Drosophila melanogaster: one gene and its partners. The protein of the gene in region 4 purifies or fractionates together with the protein of the main gene of each other region. This does not show direct contact. Each region holds a gene or a part of one and is shown on either strand. Other genes may lie near its edges. The genes, in order: CG6674, CG14641, Wdr92 and Prp8.

Region 1 (5,174 bases), on a different chromosome or scaffold from region 4:
TCAACACATTCACAGTTCCATATGTTTAACGGCGCTTTTCACTAACGAATTGTTTATTGTTTGTTGTTTCCGCGTTTTTTATTGATTTGGCAGGGCGTTTTTTCCACAATCATAATAAATGCCAGTCATTTCCCGTTAGTTTTTTATAACCCATCAGTAGCAGTAGCACTACTTCCTTCGTTCTTCCTCTTCTCCCGTTGTAAAGAGTGGTTTTACCGTTAGGGTTTTATTAGCACTTTTCACTACAATAGCTGAAGTTCCGATTTGGGTTTTGCGCACGTTTTACGTAGCTAGCCGAAAACTGATAAAACATCCGCATACATGTTGTTTTTGCTCAGCCAGCGCCTCACGAACTGAGTTTAAGAACGGCGAAATACGCGAAAAGCCAGCATCTCAGCTCAGCTGTGATTGCGGTACTTTCGCTCTCTCTCTTTGGCGCCATCCGGAAAAGTACCGTACTCCACGTGGCTAGCGAACAGCTGTTGCCGCAGATGTTCCACTGAGCATGCGCAAAAGGAGCTCGCCGCGGGAAACTGGGAAATTAGAAAGCTCCGTTACTGGAAAATCGGTTTAGTGGGAACGGTTGCTAGCTATTTTCATATGCCATAAAAGTTTCTCCACCAACACGACACCTACAACTTGATGGCACCCAAAAGTTGGCGCGAAAGTCAACACTTCGCACATAAAGACATCTTTCCGCTTGGCCAACTTTTCGGGCCAACAAACTTTTCACATTACAAAAAGCGCACATTTTTTAACCCACATTTGGCATAAATTTTCGCATTACTTGGGTTAACCAGAGCTCTAGCACAAAAGAATGGTAGATATTATAAATTATTTGGGGAGTTTAGAAAACCACTCTCTTCTAAAACTCTACTCAAAATAAAATCAAAAAATTCGTCTTAATAGGTGTTTAATGCATTTATGCATTTTAGATTGGCAATTAGAAACAGAAACCGTAAATAGTATTATTATTACTGATTTAATGGCCTTCAAACCCTTTATTGTTAAAAACATTATCTTTTTGTCATTACTTTTGTTTTAATTTTAGTTACGTTTTTTATTGTTAAATAATTACAAAACCCTAATGCACAAAAATGCAAAAAACGTCGAAGCCAGCAAGCGCCGGCAGCGAAAGTGTTCAGCAACAATGGCCATCGTGACCGCTGTGGTTGTGCGAGTGGCCATGTCCGCCGGATCTGTGGACCGCCTTCTCCTCCTCCTCGCCTGACTGCTTCGCAGCCTTGGCCTGATCCTCATCGGCAAACTCGCTGAGGTCGCGTCGCATGGCATATGCATCCTCGCCATCGGCATAGTACTTGGGCTCCACCTCGATGATCTTGAACTTGAGGGCGTTGGTGTAGAGGTTCAGGGCAGCCCGATTGCTCTTCCTCACGTGCAGGGACACGTACTGGGCATTGAAGCACTCGACCATGGCCTGGGAGGCCTGATTCATGAGCTTCTGGGCCAGGCCCAATCGCCGATAGGAACGCTTGACCGCTAGCGAGGTGATGTGCCCATGGCGGCTCTCCTCATTGGGCTCCGGCTCCTCCATCTTGGCCAGGACATAGCCCACAATGGCGCCCTTGTCGTCAACGGCCACGTAGCTAAGCTGAGGCCAGGTTAGTCCGTGGTAAAAGTAGTACTTCATCTGGTAGTTTTCGGGTAGACACAGCAGATTGCAGTGCTGCATGGTCATTAGGTCTTCCGGTTTTGCGCAGCGGATGTTCATGGTGAGGCTGTGTAGATGTGCTTCCTAGTCTCGGCGAGCTTTCCTGGCTCTGCCGTGGTGGTGTGGCTGTTGATTCTGATGATCCCAAGCAAGTGGTTGCTGATCCTCCGGCTCCTCCTGACCCAACAGCTCTCGAACCAGACGAAATTTCGATAGAAACGCCTTCCAGATGAGGAACCAGCCTGCAAAATAGACAAATTTCAATATGACTTGTTGCTCGGATCGTAGAAAATTGTTTCCATTATAACGTGATCGTCTGCGGGCGCCTGCTTACCCAACAAAATAATTGCTGCGACGATACTAACAGAGGCTAATATGGTGAAAATGAAAGCCAAGCCCGTTTGCAGGGACATTCTAACGGGGTAGTACGAAATCAGGAAACTATAAGCATTAAACTATAAATGAAATTTGAAAATAATAATTAAAACTACTTGTCAAAGGGTTTAATTTTAGTTTCCAGCAGCGAATTAAATGTTTTTTCTCCCTATTTGGATTGCTATCACAATAAAGAACAGCTGTCCTCTGGGTGTGGCCGTTATTCAACACTGAATGAAACCAGGGATACAATTTCTTGTGCTCTTTTTGTGGTAATAAGTGGGATATTTGCAAAAATTAACAAAAGCACAAATAAAAATATTGCAATCAAATATATTTATATTCTTCTGGCAATCTAAAACTTCTGCTTTTCTAGTTTTAACATTTATTTAAAAGACCCTGGCACAAGTGACTTTAGTTGCCACCAAAAACCACATGGGGTTAGAAGTTCCACTAAGCTGTCTGAAAGGCCTTTCAATAGAAGCTGTTCGATGAATCGTCCTTTGAGACAGGCACACTATACACATGGTCACGCCTTTGGGTTAGTTTTATTCAATATCCACCTGGCTGTTTAATTTATTTATATTCGCGAATGAGCACACTTCTTCCACACTAAGTTTATACACCGGCACCAGTCTGACCAGAGTTTGCGTGGGCCGAAATTCCAAGATATCTTAGTTTGCAGAGAATACCAATCATACTGCTACTATATTGAAATAGAATGGGATAAATTCAAATCTGTTAATTTACGTTTAAAAAGTATTTTAACCCTATGATGTCAGTTAACTCACATAGTATAGACTAATCCATAGAAAAGGAAATGGTTTAATAGCTGCCTTAATAGTCTAAAAATACTGCACGTTACTAAAATACTAGATGAAAATACAAAACGGTAACTGTGAAAACAGCTGATTTGCAGCAAACAAAGTTACCTCTGCAAACACAACGCATTTAAGCAAATGCCATTTGTGCAGTTTAACTAAGTAAAATGCAGGAATTTTCAGCCAAACGAGACGCTCTTTTCGCATGTCTCGACGATGCGAGCAAAGAGTTGCGGGGAACTGCCTTGGATCAGAGCAAGGCCAAGGCGTTTTCCATCAATGCCCTCGATCGAGGAAACAAATCCGGAAACGAATCCGGACAGGTGATGAACTACCGCCAGGGTCGCAGCATTGTTACTGGCCTCGATGCGGAGGATGGAAGACTGCGACGAATGCGCGGCAAGGAGAGCATTTTCAAGAAGCCCGAACTCCCCATTGGACGCTGTTTGAAGCCAAGAAAAACGCCAGATTACCAGGTGACAGACCATCCCTCTGCAATTAGTTGTCCCCACCCTAAACGTTTGACCTACTCTCTAGGTAAACCCGCACAAATGGAAGAAGTACTCCCTGTCTGATGTGGACATTTCCGAACAGAGCAACTCCGCCGCCGCCTTGTCCTTCCTGCGACAAATGGATGCACAGCGCGAGGCTGAGGGCGTCGATAACGAATCTCCACCTACAGATGGCAAGATCGAGTTCAAGAGGACCAGCAAACTCAGCCGCAAGCTCAAGAGCCTCAAACAGCAGGAGGTGGATGATGTGGAGCTGGATAAGCCGCAGTTAAGAGGTTCCAAGCTGGTGATGCCTGAGTATGTAATTGGCCAAAAGCCGCATAAGCCAAAGAAATGCAAAACCAAATCGGAACAGAGCCGTGCAGCGGGAAAACTACAACTGTCCCACTTGGCGGAGGAGGATGAGCAGGATGATTAGGTTAAAATGTATGATCCTAAGATTATATTATATAATAATTAGTGTCCCAATGAAATTTTAGAAATGTAAATAGATTTTAATTATATACAAACTGCGGTTTGTTGTGAAATATCATCGTTTATTTTGTAAGTGTACACACTCAAAAATCAGACTGGAAAATTGCTTTACATTTTGCCTAAATGTTCGATTTCAAAAATCTGGCTGTGTATATACTGGAACTCTGTATTATAATATTTGTAGATTTCTGGCAGTTATCACATAAATTACATAATTTCGTACCTTTAAATGAGGTATGCAATACGTATTAGAAGAATACTTGAATGAGTATTTGTTACAATATAAACATTTTATAGCACGCGAGCACAGAACACATAATCTAAAAGACATACTAAATGCGACGATAAGAACATAAATGCGGTTAAAAATGCATCCGGAATGATAAAATGTCCAGTGGCGGCAACTATTCGTTGAAAAACCCGGGATTGAAGTAGAGTTTCTTATTAAAGCCAAGATTATCATAGGCACCTGTCTGCATGGAACCCTTCTTGGTGCGCTTATTACCCACGGCTTCGCTCGTCTTCTTTAGGATATCCTCAAGGTCTGTGTCGTGGGCATGATCGGCCATCACTTGGCAAAACTTCTGGATGTACCAGCTGCCCGTGTCGAGATCGCGGTGGGTAACATAGCCCGGCGTATTAGCATAGCAGACCAGAGTGTCGGCAAGACTTGGCACATTGGTGCTCGGGCTGGGTATGCCCTCCGTCTGGGTGTCAGGCCACTTCTCCTCTTGCGCCGTATACACTGGCTCCATGAGATTGCCTTGATTCTTTGGATGGCCCAAATCATATTCATCGCCGCGGCAAAAGGGAAACATAAGCACCTTCGGCTTGTTCACCAAATAAGGACATTTGGCCGTCTGGAAATGGTCCTTGATCTTCTGCATATCGACCACAGATCCATCGCAAAACTCCACCTTCTCTTTTCCCTCCACACTGTTGCCGTGTGTCATCAGTACCATTACGAAACACTCGGTATTCTGCACATACGACGAGGAGGTCACCATTGTCAGAAGTTTAAAGAACTGATCCTGATTCACGTTCCCATAGGGGAAAATCGTAAAATTCAGTTCTTGAAACAAGTGTATCAACGACTTGCTGTCCTTTTCGGCTCCGATCCGTCGACGGTTTTGATCCGGATAGTCCATTATGTTAACCATTAGCAAAACGCCTCGGTTGAAACGTGATTGCATCTTATATGTGCCCAATATGGCACTATCCCCACCATGTATCTTTTTCGATTTTTTTACCTCGGGACCGTCAACGACACCCACATAAGGGGTGAGTGCTCCCAGCGGCTCATTCCGGAGCTTTGGTAGG
Region 2 (5,890 bases), on a different chromosome or scaffold from region 4:
GCCTCAGACACTAAACGAAAGCCAAAGCTCGTCTTCGCTTTTATAATATTTTTCTTAAGCCCGAAACGCGCGCGCGTCCGGCCGAGATCGCTCTCTGGGGTTGCTGGGACGATTGATAAGCAAAGCTTCGTGCGATAAGCAGCAAACTGAACTTAAAACAGAGTGAAAATAAATTTAAAAGTTCCCAGAAAAGTATGTATGTATACTAATCTATTTATTACTATTTTAATTTGGTGGTGGTAGTGGTTTAGTAATCCGCAGCGGTGTTAGATAGGTAGTCGCGACGTCCTATGTTTGAAGCTTGCTTGTTCTGAACAGCCTCAAGTTTTGGGCACTCCGTGATGCGATGGCCCAGACCACCACAGTAGGTGCAGCCATGCGAGTCACCCAGGTCCAGGTGCTGGTGTTCGGTCTCAGGTGCCAGTTCGTCCAAGAAGTCCGGGACCTCTTGCTTGCCCTCGATTAGCAGGTGCTTCAGGTCGAGCAGAACCGACTGCTCGGTAGTCTTGTTTATCAGCGTCGTAGCCAATCCCTTAGTGTTGGAACGACCTGTGCGGCCAATACGATGCACATAGTTTTCAATATCGTCCGGCATGTCGTAGTTAATAACGTGTTGCACGTTAGGGAAGTCCAGGCCCTTCGATGCCACGTCGGTGGCCACCAGCACATCTTTTTTGCCCACGCGGTAAGCATCGACTGCCCGCGATCGTTCTTCCTGATCCTTTCCGCCGTGAATAGCCACCGCCTCCACGCCTTTCAACAGCAGATACTCATGTATGCAGTCTACATCCTGCTTCTTCTCAGCAAAAATGAGCACGGGCGGCGCGGTCTTCTGTAGGCAGTCCAGCAAATATACCACCTTTGCCTCTTGCTTAACGTACTCAACCTGTTGGGTGACGTTCATTGACGCAGCACCTGCGCGACCCACATTTATTGTGACAGGCTTCACGAGAGCTGATCGAGCAAAGTTCTGGATCTTTTTTGGCATGGTGGCAGAGAATAAAAGTGTCTGTCGCTGGCCTTTGAAGAAAGAGAATATCGTACGAACGTCCTCTTCAAATCCCATGTCAATCATGCGGTCAGCCTCGTCCATGCACAAGTACCGGCACATGTCCAGCGTAAGGATCTTCTTGTCCAGCATATCCATTAGACGACCAGGGGTCGCCACCACAATATGTACGCCGCGTGAGATGACGTCAAGGGCCTCGCTGACCGGCAAACCACCCATGGCCAGGCAGGAACGAATCTCAGGCATTCCGCATGCCTGGAGGTGCTTGCTGTAGTGTTGAATTATCTCGTGTGTTTGCTTGGCCAGTTCGCGGGACGGGCAAATGATCAGGCCGTAGGGGCCCTCGTTACGCTCAAAAGGCAGACTATACTCCTGTTCCAGGGCAAACATGATGACTGGCAGCACGAAGACAAGCGTTTTTCCAGACCCAGTGAAGGCTATTCCAATTAGGTCGCGGCCGGCTAGTACAGTGGGCAGGCCTTGCACTTGGATTGGGGTCGGGTTCTTAATGCCTTTGGCCGCTAAGCCGTTAAGTATACCTTTAGGGAACTTCATTTCCCGGAAGCTGCGAATTGGCGGGCTGGGGGTTTCTCCCTCCACTAGGATCCTCAACTCGTGGCGAACGGCCTCGCGCTCTTCCTCCGACATTTCCCGAATGTAACGCGGCGGTTTCCAAGCTGTTTTAATAGGCTGCTCGTACTGAATCCCCTTCGCCAACTCTGCCACACCCATAAGGGCCTTCTGCTGAGCAATGCTCTCCATAATCTTTTCCTCCTCTCGCAGCTGCTTTTCGACGGCACTCAACTTTTTGGCCTCGGCAATTTTCTTCAGTTCTGTGTGCTGGTCCAGCAGACTAATGTTGTACTTGCGTCCCCAGGTCTCGACATCGTGCGCACCCTGCGAGTCGTCTTCATTCTCATTCTCGCTTGACGACTTGGGCTGGGCCGTTTCCGAAACCAGTTGCACGATCCTGCCCAGCTTTATCATGTGCTGCTTCTTCCGCTCCTTCACCGGTACGTATGGCACGTAGTCCTCGTTGTCCAGGTCGCCTTCCTCCGAGGACTTAGACGACCTCCGATACCGCTTTACGTGCGCCATAGCATTCGATCTATATTTCTGATTTTTGTTTGTTTCGTTTTCGCCTAATTTGACTACAACAAAGGCCACCGTACGACGTTTTAAATTAGGCGAGCCCGAAAAATACTATATTCTAATGGGTATCGATTACAGTTATTAAACAGTGATTCCACTGACAGCTTCTTGCTTATGATATATTCATGGCATGCAGACCGGATAATAGTTTTTTTTTCAATTTGGGCAAAATCTTTCGATTTCGTTTTTAGGTGCTCTGGTTTTCTGAGTTTGAGATTGAGTCTTTCTTTTTTTGTGAAAACCAAGCAACGTGAAAAATGCAACTTTTAGCGCGAAGGTTGCCATACTGTTGGTGAAATATAACAGGCAGGTAAAAATACTTAGTAAATATATTTAAAGCAGGGCCAAAAGTGCTGTTCGTAAATAATGATAATTAATTGAATAACATAAGTGGTCAGAGCGCAGTGAATACGTAACTGCGAACATCGGAATTAAAAGTGCCAAAAACTCTGTGTAAATCGCCCAGAAACATTTTATATGAACTTATGCGTGCTATCAAAAGTGTTTCAGGAACATTTCTGTTAAACGGTTAGCGAACATGAATAGTACAGAATAGTAGAATATCGTATTGATCGGTTTCGGATCAGTCGAATGCAATATATTTTTGTGTGCATTTGGGTATAGATATATATTCTAAGCAGTGTGAATATGCTATTAAATTCAATAAATTATATCGATTGCTGACTTTGAACTAACTGTCTGCTTCTGGCTCAACTTATCGATATTGGTATATCACTCGCGACACACCACCATTTTCGACAAGTAGAAAGCGAATGAGCATTGTCTAAATTTAGCTCGGATTTTAAGTGCAAGGTACATAAGTGCCGCTGCTATGTCTATGTCAAAAACGACTAACACCTATAACCGGCAGAACTGGGAAGATGCTGAATTCCCAATTCTGTGCCAAACTTGCCTTGGCGACAATCCGTACGTGCGGATGATTAAAGAGCGGTTCGGCAAGGAATGCAAGATATGCACGCGTCCATTCACAATATTTCGATGGTGTCCTGGTGCTCGTATGCGCTTCAAAAAGACGGAGATATGTCAAACGTGTGCGCGCCTGAAGAACGTGTGTCAGACCTGCCTCTTGGACCTGGAGTACGGACTGCCGATTCAAGTACGAGATGCGGCGCTCAAAGTGGCTGACAATATGCCACAAAGCGACGTTAACAAGGAATACTACATCCAAAACATAGACGCCCAGCTGCAGGACGGAGATGGCACGGAGGCGGCAGGAGCTGTCGGTCGATCCCTCGCCGCCAACGAGATGTTGTCCAAGCTTGCGCGCACAGCACCCTATTACAAAAGAAATCGGCCGCACATCTGCTCCTTTTGGGTTAAGGGCGAGTGCAAGCGTGGAGAGGAGTGCCCATACCGCCACGACAAGCCCAACGAGCCGGACGATCCGCTATGTGAGCAAAACATCAAGGACAGGTACTACGGACGCAACGATCCTGTGGCCGAGAAGATCATGAAGCGTGCAGCCTCGCTTCCCACACTCGAGCCGCCGGAGGACCGCAACATCACAACTCTCTATGTGGGGAACCTTCCTGAAGAAATCACGGAACCCGAGCTGCGAGATCAGTTCTACCAGTTCGGCGAAATTCGATCAATTGCGCTGGTGCCACGCCAGCAGTGCGCTTTTGTGCAATACACCAAAAGAAACGCTGCCGAGCTGGCTGCTGAGCGGACCTTTAATAAACTGGTGATCCAGGGCCGGAAGGTGAGCATTAAGTGGGCTCACTCTCAGGCAAAGCAGGGCACCGCTGCAAAGACAGACAGACGCTTCGACTTGGCCGGCATTCCACCGCCTAGCGCGAAGCCCAACGACTACTTCAATCTTCGCCAAGAGCAAATCAATGTCATGCCCGCCGGCATGAAGCTGCATCAGTTGCCATCAAATCTAGTTCCGGCGTCGGCTTACCAAATGTATGGTCAGCCTACTTATGCAGCTCCCTACGGAAACGCCACTTCCACAGCCCTTTCTTCCTCGGGTGTCAATTTGGATTCCATATCGATTCCTCCGCCACCGGGTCAAGTACCGTATCCAAGTCAGGACGCCAGTCGGATGGGAGCTGTTAAAAAGTAGGAAAACCCTGTGGTCTACAATGGTTCCAATTCAATAAATCATTTTTATAAAATTAAATACAAACTTTTTAAAGTGGTCAGTTCCATAAAAATGACTTAATATTAATAGAATTTATCCGTATGGACGAAATTGTTTTCGATTCGAATTGTTAAGAAAAAACACCAAACAATTAGAGAGGAGAAGATAATAATAAATGATTTAAACTCTAAAAAAAAAAAGAAAAAAAGAACAAATTTTCGTCACAAAAGCTTATATCAAAACTTTTGTACATATGTATGTTGATGTGCGTTCGTCACTCGTTTTTACCTTTAATAAATGCTTTTCTTTGATTTGGACGATATTTGGGATTAAAAAAAGTACACCAATGCACATGTACATATGTAAGTTCATTCTTCAGTATTTATAGGGGAACTTAACATTGGGATTATGACTACCTCCCTGCATTCCATTCATTCAGATTTCATCAGCTCATTACTGATCATTAAAAATCTCGATCAAATTAATCACAGGTTAATTTGTATTAAAAAAAAAAACCATGACCTGAACCTATGTTCTAGGAAATCATCGCATAGCGCAAAATCAAAATCACGCATAAGCGCTATAAATGATAGCTCAATTCATCTCTCTACACCTCTTTTTATTCACTTAATCCTCTATCAATTTTAATGAAAAAGTGAAATTTCAGTCATTTATTAATAAAAATGTATTTTCTTAATTAGACTTATTTAAATTATGCATAGGATTTAAATTTAAGAATACAAATACATATATATGTATGTGAAATTCCAGAGTCTTTGGCGTCCTGTCCTACGGAGTTAGGACCAGCTTCTTTTCAGTTCACATGTCCGATTTACCTTAAGGTAAAATAATGTATAATTATGTATACAAAAACGAGTTAAACCAATTTACCTTAAATTATCGTTTCTGTGAGTAGTGTTTGTTGCTTATTGTAAAATAAATCCATTACCTGTAATTATTATTGAATTAAATTCCAAAATATTTACAATTTTTTTTTAAAACAAGCACTCAAAATCGCGTCTACTTCTCACAAAAGTCTATAGGCAAGTGATCTGCAAACATGTTCTATGTACATTACAAATTTAAAATTTAAATTTAAATTTGCAATTAAATAAAAAATCGCATACTGAGACCTTCGGTTAGAAATTAAAAAGCGATGAATTTGTTTTCAAAATCATCGCTTATTCCTCGTTATGATTAAGAACATTAGCATCGCTTTAAAATTTTAAGAGAGAGATGATGTAATATTTTTTAATAGCGATGAATTGTGGGACTACAGGGTAGGTAAAGGTTACATATGTACAGGTGCGAGCAGTGCAAATATGTTTATTCTAATGAAATCTTAGACTAACTGTAAATTATATAATGGCTATATTTCTTTTACCCGTCACTCTTACTCTTCTTTACTTCCAGAAAGGGGGTTTTGTCTTAGCTAAACATATGATTAATGTATTCTATGTTTTTTCAATATTCATTCCAATATACAATTTTACAATTAATGGTTTTGCAACAGCTATTTTGAAGTTAATTATTGCTTGTTTTGTAGTTTTTACCGATAAATCACACGTGTGCAAGCGATCGCTTATTAAAACAGTAATAAGTAATAATATTTAAAGTAACGA
Region 3 (5,599 bases), on a different chromosome or scaffold from region 4:
TGAGTCACTTTCATTAAGCCCAAAATAAATTGATAGAAAGCGTAGACATGCGCTGTTATTTTATCATGCTCCTCATAAAACAATTTGACATTTAGTGACCCCTTGTATATTCATTATGATAACTCTTTGGAATTTAACAAACATATTATACTCCTTATGTAAATATCTTACGATTTTTTATAATTATGATAACTCTTTGCATCGAAGGTCAGCATTTTTTTAATTTCTAAATATTCAAGTTGATAGCCTGACGCCTTACTTATGATTCACAAAGTAAAGAAATTGACTTGACTTGAAAGTTGAACTGCATATTTAAGATTCTTTTTCAAATATATATATTATACATCAAGGGAATAAATCAGCTGTAATTCGCTGTGTAATATACCAATAAAGTCAGAGGTTGGATATTGAACTATATAGGGTATTTATGCATGTGCCGCACCCTTATCGGTAGATTAACCCTTGCTGGCGGAGTCCAGTTTCATCATCGATTTGACCACAGAACTGCAAACAATGGGTGCTACACATTTCCCCTGATTATGTTTAGCTTCCGTTGGATATGAATTGCAGTTCATCGGTTGGACTTTGAGTTTGCCTTGTTTAGCTTCTGTAGAAGTGCTGGTGCGGCAGTTGGCAGATTTTTTATATGTCTTTGTTTAGATTTCGATTGTGCGGCATTTATTTATTTCTGTGTGGCGGAGGGAGGGGGGAAGTAGGGGAAAAATTGGGGCTGCAACATTTTCAATTTTCCCTACTGTGCGCACGCACGAACTTCGGACAACGCAGTGGAAACAAACCAAATGAAATCAATTGGAACATCGTTGATTGATCAACAATGATGTGAGAACTCGATGCTGTAATGCTTATTTCGAGAAAGGTTTTATTTAAAATATAGAGATTTTTAAAACACATTAGTTGTGAAAATAAATATTAAATATTCTACATTTCAATCACATACATATAAGTTTCTGTATGTGCGCGTATACTTCCTCATATGCAAGTTAAATATAGGCGCGTGATATGAAATATTTCCCGGCACAATATGAGTGCTATCATTAATCCCTCAGTTTCCCTATTTATTACTATAGATTATTATTGCAGCTATTGCGTGCTATTAGCTGCGAAAACTTTAATCCCAAATTAGAAACAGGTGTGAAAGTGGAGGGTTTTAATCTTGAGCCCAAGGCAACGACTATTGGCAATCTTTACAGTTCACGTATAAGTGATAATGTATAAAAATAATCTGTGTAAATTACCGATTGATTGATAAGTAATTCACAAGTTTTATTCGCTTCGTTGTGGGAAAGTATAAAGCTAGAATTTTATATTTGTCAGAAAGAAAATATAATTATAGATTTATTTAAATCTGGTTCTGTATTCATAACCAATAATTTTTACAAAAAGACCAAGTCGACTGTTAAGGGGAATTTTTGTAGAAATAATTGCCTTTATAATTGTGCACTTTACGTGTTGCATAATATTTACTTTTTTTTTTTTTTCAGACCAAAAAACCAATTAGTTTCCATTCACTATTTGTTCTCCCCAGCGTGGTGGGCTTATCAACAAATCCCAATAAGTATAGGGTATTCCGAACGGGCGATGCGACAGGTTGGCAAAAAGTCGCCAAAACGGAAGAATGACATAAACATATGTACTATATACATGATGTACTATAACGCTTATATACTAAATATTATACACTATGAGTGTGTGTCAAGTGCAAGTGCACCGAAAACAACAGAGAGGGCACACAGAAACAATAAAGCCAATGAAAAAGCTGAAAAGTACACAATTAACGTGATTGTCCCCAAAATTGACGATAAATCGAAAGGCAACGGCGGAAGTAAGGAAATGTTGGGCAATACAAATGAATGTGAAAACATGCCGAGAATGGAAGAATCTTTGTGGCTTTTACCTTTGAGAAACTACATTAATTTTTAGTTGGCACTCAATTCGGTTGCCAACGAGTACAGCTGTTGCTGTAGTTGTTGTTCTTGTAGTCGTCTATACTGCCGTCGATTTGTTGGCACCTTCAACTTTTGATAGCGCCTTTGTTATTGTTGTATCACTTGTTGCCAATAAAAAATTGATTAACACTTTTCTGGCGCATGCATCGCAAATATGCTAAACTTTGAGCACTCTTTAGCGAGTTTTTGTTCTGCCAAAACGATTATCACTTATATAAAACCGGCTAAAAGGCCCGCAAATTAATAGCCAACGCTATAAGCTGCGCTTTGTTATTTCAATAATATTTATTTTCGCTTATTTAACCCCGCACGTTTAATATCTCATCGTTTTTTTTTTAATGCAGAAAAGCGTCGCTTGCGACACACGTAAAAGTGTTTCTTTGTCGTTATATATGAAGTTGTTGCTGCTGTTGCTGTTGTTGTTGCTATTGGGGGGTCGAACGCCAAAAAAAGATGCTCGCGCCAAAAACTAAATATGTGGAAAATCCGCGACAGAAGCAAAACAGCGTCCGACTGACCCAGTAAAACTGAAGAAAAAAGTATTCAACTCACAGAGTGGCGAAAGCTTTTTAAGCTTACCACCATTAACAGCTGTTCCCGATGCCTTCTAATGTATCGGCATAACTATCGTACACACACATTATTTCGTAAATTTTAAATTATTTGATTATATGAGTACAAAATGTGAACTATAGTAATGGGATATACTTTTTACAAACGTTAAGCGTTATTATTTTTTTAAATATTGCATTTTAGTGGATATGTTATAATTTATCTATTTAAAAATTAGATTTGGTATATTTCCGTCAGCTGATTGGTATATTTCAGGCGCTGCATGTACGGCTACACTGAAAAAGAGGAAGAGATAGCCATGACAACAAAACAACTTGTTTTTGATAAATCCTTAAGTTTTCACCGGCCGCTTTTGGAATATTAGCATAAAGTTGAGACGGAAATATAGATCGTTGAAATGGACAAGCCCCAGCTTATTGAGCACCTCCACGAGGCACTCAACTACACGGTGTACGATACGAAATGGGTGCCCCTTTCGGCCAAGTTTGTGATTCTGGGCTCCAAGGCCAACGGGCACGGAATCATGGACATCTACGAACTCAACCAGGATAAGCTGGTGAAAGTGAAGTCCGTAGAGAAGAAGGTTGCCTTCAAATGCGGCACCTTCGGAGCAGCTTCGCTCAGGAACCGCCACATGGCCATCGGAGATTTCGAGGGCAGGCTGCAAGTTCTGTAAGCATAATCCCGCTTAAGTCATTAGATGCTTCTCTGACATGTGTTCTTTGCAGGGATATGGAGCAGCCGGACCTTCCGGTCTACAATGTAAAGGCCCACAACGGCATCATCAACACCATCGACGCGATTGGCGGCACACAAATCGATTGCGGTGCTCCGGAAATCGTTACTGGAAGTCGTGACGGCGCCGTTAAAGTCTGGGATATCCGCCAGGGGCAGGCTCCTGTGGTGGACATGTCGCCGCCGCCGCAAATGGGCGATGGCGTTAACAACAGCAGTGGCCGCCGGGACTGCTGGGCCGTGGCCTTTGGAAATACCTACAACGCTGAGGAGCGCATCGTTGCCGCCGGCTATGATAATGGAGATCTAAAGATATTCGATTTGCGATCCCTTTCCGTACGCTGGGAGGCCACCATGAAGAATGGTATCTGTGGACTGGAGTTCGATCGCCGGGACATTCCCATGAACAAGCTAGCGGTCACCACTTTGGAGGGCGGTCTCCTTGTCTTCGATATGAGAACCCAACATCCGACCAAGGGATTTAGTTACGTGGAGGAACGCAACGCCGGACGCAGCGTGGGAACAAATGGCGTGATCAGCGGACCCAAAGCCACCGTTTGGGTAGTTCGTCATCTGCCCCAGAATCGGGATCTCTTTCTCACGGGCGGCGGAACTGGTTCCATTCGCCTGTGGCAGTACGAGTATCCCGACAGGAGGGTCATTGATGACTCTGATGGAAACAAGTTGGGAGTTGCTGGAGCCCTTAATATGCTTAGTGCAGCCACTTTGAGCTCTCAGCCGGTTCACTGCTTTGACTGGCATCCAGACAAACTGGGCCTAGCCGTCTGTGGAGCATTCGATCAAAGCGTGCGCGTTTTAATTACCACCAAACTAAACACTTTTTAGATGGTGGACATCAAAAGAAACCCATTAAAGAAATGCTTCATACTTGTGATATTGGATGATGGGTTAATTCATAGGTTTATATTTTTATGAATACACTTTCATTGCACCTATTGCTAGACAATAAATCCTTAATGCGCAATAGCTTTTAAAATCAGAAAAACTGGATAATCTGCTTGAGCTGAATTATATTACAAATCAAAACTAGCTTACAAATATATATCAGCAATAAACTATTTCATGTACAATAAAAAATGACTCTTTTTATTTGTTTTGCAATTACAAAATAGTATAAAACCTTATATAGTGTATAACTAAGATCGAGACGCATTCATTCGTTCCTGGACAATTTTTGTCAGGTCTTCGATGCGTTTTTCCAGCTGCTCCACTTTTGCAGTCTGTTCTGCCGATACATCCACATTTATGGCTCTCTTCAAAGCATTCAGACAAGATGTTCCCGCCAGTCTGGCTGAATTTAGTTGAGAGGTAATCATTACCTCACTTTCCTCTTGAATGTGCTCTGTGATGGCCGCCACTGAGAGATCGCAGACCTCTAAACAAAGATCTAGGGCTTTTAAAGCGTGCTCCGACTTGGTTTCCCAGCCCAAATGCTTCGGTGTGTACGCACGATACGATTTTACCAGTTTCTCGGCCTTCTTCAGTGGCGTTTGGGCCACCAAGGCGGCCAGTTCCCACACAAGAGGCTCGTTACCATGTTGAATGCTCTGCTGTCCCAGAAGCTTTATGAGTCTTTTGATCAGAGCACTTGAGCCGGCGGGGTCCTCCTTGGAAACTCCGTAAACAATACGGGTTAGCACTTCCTGATCGAGGTAGTGCTGCTTTAGCTCCGCCATGCGCTGGTAAGCCCGCATGGCGTCGTCCCAGTGGGAAGTATCCACGGACACCAGCATGTAGTTCTCCCAAACCTTCCAGTTGCTGTAGTTGCACTTCAAGGCCTCACCAAGAACACGATGGGCCCGCTGTTTGTCACCCAATTTAATCAGGGCCTTGGCTAGGTTATTCCAGGATTCGAATCCATTGGGTTCCAGGTGGGTGTAAGCCAAATAATATTTAACAGCCGGCTCCCAGCGTTCCAGTTGGATTGCACAGTAGCCACAGCGCAAAAGAATCGCTTCCTGCAAGTTGTTAATCTCTAGCGAAATCTCGAAGTGATCCATTGCCTGGGCATAATCCGCACTCCTATAGAAATGGTTGCCCCAATAGGCTTGAGCTTTTCCACTTGTCTTTTTGGAATACAACCAAGCCTGCTCATAGAACGAAGGATCATCGATAGCATCGCCAAGGAGGCAGTACAGCAATGCCGTTGGCTTCTTCTCCAGTTCCTGCCTGATGATCTCCGCTGCCTTGTGACGGAGTTCCAGACTCGTGTAGCACTCGATCACCTGCTGCCAGGCGTGTATGCGAAGACAGATGTCCAGAGCTGTTTTGGTCATGCCCAAGGATCGCAGCAAGTCGACAAG
Region 4 (6,850 bases):
TTTGCCACTATCTTGGTGGCCGTGGCCATGGCCATGCAGCCACTGGAGGACAATGAGCGAACCCATCATCTGAACCACAAGCGCCAGTTGTCGCAACAGCACCACCACCACCACCAAAAGCTCCAGGAGGTGAGGCATTCGGGCCATGATAGTCTGAAACATGGTGGTTCCCACGTTAAGGAGCATCAAGCGCATCACTCTGAGCGAAAGGCCAGGCAGAGCCACAAGGAGCCGGGCCACAAGAAGAGTCACCACCAGAAGGAGCACCGCCAGCAGCAGGACAACCACACCCGCAAATCCCGATCGCATTCCAAGGGCAGCAAGCAGCATCACAAGCGGCACACGGGATCGCGTCGCCACTAGGATAATCCTGTATCCTGTGGCCAGGATATATTCTATTTAAACTCTAGCCAATGGATTCCTTATGCGAGGATTAAACTCCGAATACAGTAAACACTCGTATAATTGCATGTATGGCAACAGTAAAGCCAATCTATTTAAATGTTTACAAAACTACTGTGAAATATAAGCCATGACCAAATAAACACACATTTCATAAATGATATTAATATCCACAAGCAGCTTCAACTTTTAATAATTTGGAACACTTGATGTAGGAAATGCATTTAACTTGGATTTTAAGTTGAAAAACAGGTAGTATTTCAGAGAATTATGAGTTTTAAATAGTTTATGGCCGCAATAACTAACTTCTATAGTATGGTTTTCTTTTGAAATTTTACAAAGAGTTATATACTATATAAACTTCTGGCTGATATCCATTGTATAGACCAGCTTTCTTGTGACCCCGTTTATGGCCTGAAATTTGGCCATGTGGATCGTTAAAGATAGGTCCAACTAAAGGTTCAGATGTGTGTAATTACTCGACTTGGCCAACTCGGAATTTTGCTGGCCGGCTTATGTATGTTACGTTAGCCGCCTCAATTTCTTTGGAAGTTCAAAAAACAAAAAAGAAATCCGGTTTTGGACAATTGAAATTTGAAAATAATAAACCACACATGCGAGCGTAGTCGTACGTAAAGTGTTTTTTGTTTTTGTTTTGTTTTTATTGCAATAAAGCCGGTGTTAATTGTGCTCTGGGGTCAAAAACTGCCGCTGACGTCATCAACTCGTCGTTGCAAGACAGTGAAAGGGTTAAAATTTCAAAACTGGGGGGCTTGCTTGTATAACTTCTTTGGTCACTAGTGCGATTACATAGGATTTTGTGGATTAAGGAACGTATGTCCATATGTCTGAAACTTCTTGCTTAAGGAACGTTTTTCGGTCTGGCATCATAGTATTATCCCCAAACTGGGTAAATTCGGGGACGATAGAATCCGCCTCCGTAGGAGCGATATCCGCCGTAGCCGCCGTAACCGGAATATCCGCCGTACTTGTAGCCACCTCCATAGCCGCCGTAGTAAATTGGCGATGGAGCTGCATAGTAGCCGTAGCCAATGGAGTCCGCGGTGGAGAGATCAGCCTCCTCAGCGGGTTTCTTGTCCTGCCAAGCGAATGGATTTTGTTGGTTGGTTTTGAAATGGAAAAACTAAAGATATGACCTACCTCTATAGGAGCTGCGCTGATGAATCCGATAATAGCCAGGCACAAAAGGATGGAAAATAACTGAAAATGTTCACAACATTTACTCATTATGATAGAAACACTTTTTGTTTGTGTGTAATACCTTTGCCATTGTTGCTTTTATTTGCGAAATTTAACGGGGATGCACTCTAGATTTTATGTTTTTCTCTCAAATTAGCAACTTTTCCCGATCGTGTTCTGGCCAGAAGCGTTGTTGTCCGTAAACTGTGATCCCCAGCGACCTGCCGACAATATTTATAGTGGCCCAAAACGTCCCGGGGATCGATTTTGCACATGATCATTGATTGGACAAACATTCGGGAGTCTGGGGATGTCGTTACCCGATGCGAAATGAGGTGTTTCATTATCACAGATGACTCGATGGGATCTTCCAATTCGGTTATTTGAATTTCTAAGCTACAGTGAGCATTAGTTAATGGCCAAAGAAAAAGTTATTTAGTGTTTTATTTATTCGGTTTGTTGTTAGCTAAAGTCGACTGTGTGTTCTTATTTTTACCAGTCATCAACAATAATATTGACGCACTACACTAATTAAGTTCCTAATTATTAATATTAACACATTTGTTGACGAGCTGATTCATTGATTTAATTACAAGGATTTAGCCTTAATTAAAAATGCTAATGTCTCGATATTTTTTACTACTACAATACAAAGTAATTTAAGTGAATAAGGCTAATTAGTTTTAGTCGTCGCAGTTTTGGTGAATTTGTAATATATTCCCCAATAACACCGTTATTTAAATTTTCAAATTTGCTCGCACTTTGTGTGGTTATCTTGACTGCTTTTTACCACTAGACTGTTTAGCAATTCACCTAATCTCTCGATAGACGATAGATGTCTTATCGATTGAGTGATGTGACCGTTCTACTATTCTATAAATGGCTGCCGCATGAAAAAGTAAACCTCTCGTTTTGCGAACCGGAAAAATTGTGAATTGCGGCCAAAGAAAGGCAGAAAAAGTGCCAAATAGGCAGTACAGTTGCAAATTAACTGCCAGGTAAGATATTCAAACCAAGATTAGCTGGGGGAAAAGCGAAATTTACGCTTTTTCACAGCGTGGTGAAAATTGCAAAAGACCGCGACGTCGGCGGCGGCATTTCGATTTCTCCCCCTGAAACAAAACGTGTCTGTGTGTCGTAAAGTGTATGTTTTTCGTCGTTTATTGATTAGGATAAGTGCCGCGGAACGATGTCCATTCCGCCGTACATGATACCACAAAATGCGTGGGCAGCCCAGCTGATGGCCCAGCAGGCCTACGCGGCTGCCCATGCTCAGCAGGCTCAACTGCACGCCCAGCAGCAGATGGCCAACCAAATTCAGCAGATTCCGCCACCGGGGGCTCCGCTGCCGCCGGCCGGTGGCCATACCAACGGTATACCCATCCCGGTGGGAGGTCAGGGACCCGGATTGGGCCAGATTCCCACGCCCAAGCCGGACATACTCACCGAGGAGAAGCTGCAGGAGAAGGCGCTTAAATGGCAGCATCTGCAGTCCAAGCGATTCGCTGAGAAGCGCAAGTTTGGCTTCGTGGATACCCAGAAGGAGGATATGCCGCCGGAGCACATCAGGAAGATCATTCGCGATCACGGAGATATGACGTCGCGCAAGTATCGTCATGACAAGCGAGTATATCTCGGCGCCCTGAAGTACATGCCACATGCTGTGCTCAAGCTGCTAGAGAACATGCCAATGCCATGGGAGCAGATCCGGGATGTCCAGGTGCTGTACCACATCACTGGAGCCATTACCTTTGTCAATGAGATTCCCTGGGTTATTGAGCCCGTCTACATAGCACAATGGGGGTAAGTTGACTTTAACTTGTCCTCGTGGACACAACTGACGTTAAACACTTCCGCAGTACAATGTGGATCATGATGCGGCGTGAGAAACGCGATCGTCGCCACTTTAAGCGCATGAGATTCCCGCCATTTGACGATGAAGAGCCGCCTCTAGACTATGCCGACAACGTGCTGGACGTGGAGCCCTTGGAGGCCATTCAAATTGAGCTGGACAATGACGAAGACAATGCTGTATACAAATGGTTTTATGACCATCGTCCTCTAGTGGATACACAGTGAGTTTTGATTTGTCATTTATATCTGATCTTGTTTTGATTCATTTATTACCATCTAAGGTTTGTGAACGGCACTACCTACCGAAAGTGGAATCTTTCCCTGCCTCAGCTAGCCACGCTGTATCGATTGGCCAATCAATTGCTCACCGATCTAGTCGACAATAACTTCTTTTATTTGTTTGACCCAAAAAGTTTCTTCACCGCCAAGGCTCTTAATATGGCCATTCCAGGAGGACCTAAGTTTGAACCCCTCATTAAGGACCACAATGTTGGGTAAGACAATGCATACCCTAAATACTTGTTAAAATGTAATTCCTGCTTTTATTTAATTTTAGGGACGAGGATTGGAACGAGTTCAATGACATTAACAAAGTCATTATCCGGCAGCCAATTCGCACGGAATACCGCATTGCCTTTCCTTACTTGTACAACAATATGCCACACTTTGTGCATTTGAGCTGGTAAGAGTCCACATTCTTCAAAAATTACCATTCTAAAATCTTATTTACGTGGTTAGAAACGTTTCCAAGTGATCAGCCTCTCTGGAAATGCTTCATGCCGCGTTAGAAAAACGACGAGCTCCCAGGTTACTGCCAAATTTGCGATAAAACGGGAGCTGCAATGAATATGTTCGTGGCGATTGTTAAGAATTAATCGTGACTGCTGATAGTTGCATACATATAAACTCATTTGTAGCTTAGAGGATCCACATGACCACATGATGTACTTTGTCTATTTCAGGTATCACACTCCCAACGTGGTCTACATCAAGACCGAAGATCCCGATCTGCCTGCATTTTACTTTGATCCGCTCATCAATCCCATATCCCATCGCAATGCAAACTCGAAGATTCAGGAGCCCCTACCTGATGACGACGAGGACTTTACTCTTCCGGACGACGTGCAGCCGTTCCTGCAGGACACTCCCCTGTACACTGACAACACTGCAAACGGAATCGCCTTGCTGTGGGCACCCCGCCCCTTTAACATGCGCTCTGGTCGCTCCCGTCGTGCCATCGATGTGCCGCTGGTCAAGTGCTGGTACAAGGAGCATTGTCCACCTGGCCATCCGGTTAAGGTGCGCGTTAGCTACCAGAAACTGCTCAAATACTATGTGCTCAATGCCCTAAAACACCGCAAACCAAAGCCACAAAAGAAACGGTGAGTTTTATTTAAATCAAACTATAGAAACGTTTTGAATTGTATCCTTACTTTGCAGCTACCTCTTCCGTTCGTTTAAGGCCACAAAATTCTTCCAGACCACAACTCTGGATTGGGTTGAGGCTGGACTGCAAGTTTGTCGTCAGGGATATAACATGTTGAATCTATTGATTCACCGAAAAAATCTTAACTACTTGCATTTAGATTACAATTTCAACTTGAAGCCCGTTAAAACTCTGACCACCAAGGAGCGTAAGAAGTCGCGATTCGGAAATGGTAAGCAGTTAAATTTCTAAAAATTTCCCTTTTATCAATTCCTTTCATTCCTATTAGCTTTCCATTTGTGCCGTGAGATCCTGCGTCTGACCAAGCTAATCATTGACTCTCATGTTCAGTATCGGCTAAACAATGTGGACGCCTTTCAGTTGGCTGACGGACTGCAGTACATATTCGCCCATGTTGGCCAGCTGACTGGCATGTATCGCTATAAATACAAGCTGATGAGGCAGATTCGAATGTGTAAGGATCTGAAACATTTGATATACTATCGCTTCAACACGGGGCCCGTGGGCAAGGGACCCGGATGTGGCTTTTGGGCACCTGGATGGCGAGTCTGGCTGTTCTTTATGCGCGGCATCACTCCGCTACTGGAACGCTGGCTGGGCAATCTATTGTCGCGTCAGTTCGAGGGTCGTCACTCCAAGGGTGTGGCCAAGACGGTGACTAAGCAGCGTGTTGAGTCCCACTTTGATCTGGAGTTGCGTGCCTCCGTGATGCACGATATTGTGGACATGATGCCCGAGGGCATCAAGCAGAACAAAGCTCGTACCATTTTGCAGCATTTATCGGAGGCATGGCGTTGCTGGAAAGCGAACATTCCGTGGAAGGTGCCTGGTCTACCCATTCCCATTGAGAATATGATCCTGCGTTACGTGAAAATGAAAGCCGACTGGTGGACAAACACGGCTCACTATAATCGGGAACGTATACGACGTGGAGCAACCGTCGATAAGACGGTGTGCAAGAAGAATCTGGGGCGACTAACGCGACTCTATCTGAAGGCGGAGCAGGAGAGGCAGCACAACTACTTAAAGGACGGTCCGTACATATCACCGGAGGAGGCTGTGGCTATTTACACAACCACGGTCCATTGGCTGGAATCACGTCGCTTTGCGCCCATTCCCTTCCCACCACTTTCATACAAACACGATACCAAGCTGCTAATATTGGCCCTTGAGAGGCTAAAAGAGGCGTATAGCGTTAAGTCCAGGCTGAATCAAAGTCAGCGTGAGGAGCTGGGCCTCATCGAACAGGCCTACGATAATCCTCACGAGGCGTTGTCCCGCATCAAGCGTCATCTGCTCACGCAGCGAGCCTTCAAGGAGGTTAGTTATCACTATTTCTATCTGTATTTGAAATAACTTTAAGACTTGTATTACTATCTTAGGTGGGCATTGAGTTCATGGACTTGTACAGCCATCTGATTCCAGTCTACGAAGTGGAACCCCTGGAAAAGATTACAGACGCATATTTGGATCAGTATCTGTGGTATGAGGCTGACAAGCGTCGATTGTTCCCGCCATGGATCAAGCCCAGCGACACGGAGCCGCCACCATTGTTGGCCTACAAGTGGTGTCAAGGTATAAAGTTGGAACTGGTTTCAAAAGAACATAGTTGACGGCGGTACCGGGCATTTTGGGTGTGTGATTTGTAGCAAAGTGATATGTATTTGATCATCCCCTTGTTGCAAACCTCACGCCAAAGATGATCTGCGAAATACACAGTGGTATGGAAAAAAAAGGAATATAGAACCCCTTTGATACTATCTCTGGCTTAGCTTATTCGTATTTTTCTCCTCAACAGGCATTAACAATCTGCAGGATGTTTGGGATGTGGGTGAGGGCGAGTGCAATGTGCTGCTGGAGTCTAGATTTGAAAAGCTGTACGAGAAAATTGACTTGACGCTGCTTAATCGTTTGCTCCGCCTGATTGTCGATCATAATATCGCCGAT

Evidence for each region.
Region 1: the proteins of Prp8 (region 4) and CG6674 purify together in Drosophila melanogaster (affinity purification with mass spectrometry, with the first as the bait; one large-scale study listed by BioGRID). This does not show direct contact.
Region 2: the proteins of Prp8 (region 4) and CG14641 purify together in Drosophila melanogaster (affinity purification with mass spectrometry, with the first as the bait; one large-scale study listed by BioGRID). This does not show direct contact.
Region 3: the proteins of Prp8 (region 4) and Wdr92 purify together in Drosophila melanogaster (affinity purification with mass spectrometry, with the first as the bait; one large-scale study listed by BioGRID). This does not show direct contact.

The regions. Positions count from the first base shown.
Region 1 is NT_037436.4:9,969,834-9,975,007, reverse strand, and holds CG6674 (uncharacterized protein), read left to right. Parts: upstream 1-2,953; 5' UTR 2,954-3,035; coding exon 3,036-3,344; intron 3,345-3,405; coding exon 3,406-3,798; 3' UTR 3,799-3,857; downstream 3,858-5,174. Other genes in the region: vnc (variable nurse cells), read right to left, coding at 1,142-1,732; CG42455 (uncharacterized protein), read right to left, coding at 1,757-1,914, 2,007-2,085; Dronc (death regulator Nedd2-like caspase), read right to left, coding at 4,259-5,164.
Region 2 is NT_033777.3:4,229,346-4,235,235, reverse strand, and holds CG14641 (uncharacterized protein), read left to right. Parts: upstream 1-2,893; 5' UTR 2,894-2,993; coding exon 2,994-4,250; 3' UTR 4,251-4,457; downstream 4,458-5,890. Other genes in the region: abs (abstrakt), read right to left, coding at 248-2,107.
Region 3 is NT_037436.4:17,905,317-17,910,915, forward strand, and holds Wdr92 (WD repeat domain 92), read left to right. Parts: upstream 1-2,826; 5' UTR 2,827-2,937; coding exon 2,938-3,212; intron 3,213-3,268; coding exon 3,269-4,121; 3' UTR 4,122-4,367; downstream 4,368-5,599. Other genes in the region: CG5290 (uncharacterized protein), read right to left, coding at 4,433-5,599.
Region 4 is NT_033778.4:12,158,635-12,165,484, reverse strand, and holds the start of Prp8 (pre-mRNA processing factor 8), read left to right. Parts: upstream 1-2,486; 5' UTR 2,487-2,600; intron 2,601-2,773; 5' UTR 2,774-2,791; coding exon 2,792-3,405; intron 3,406-3,461; coding exon 3,462-3,677; intron 3,678-3,737; coding exon 3,738-3,950; intron 3,951-4,012; coding exon 4,013-4,138; intron 4,139-4,181; exon of another isoform or gene 4,182-4,359; intron 4,360-4,418; coding exon 4,419-4,838; intron 4,839-4,896; coding exon 4,897-5,114; intron 5,115-5,171; coding exon 5,172-6,223; intron 6,224-6,285; coding exon 6,286-6,478; intron 6,479-6,514; exon of another isoform or gene 6,515-6,613; intron 6,614-6,701; coding exon 6,702-6,850. Other genes in the region: CG34232 (uncharacterized protein), read left to right, coding at 1-363; CG13177 (uncharacterized protein), read right to left, coding at 1,298-1,501, 1,564-1,623, 1,685-1,693.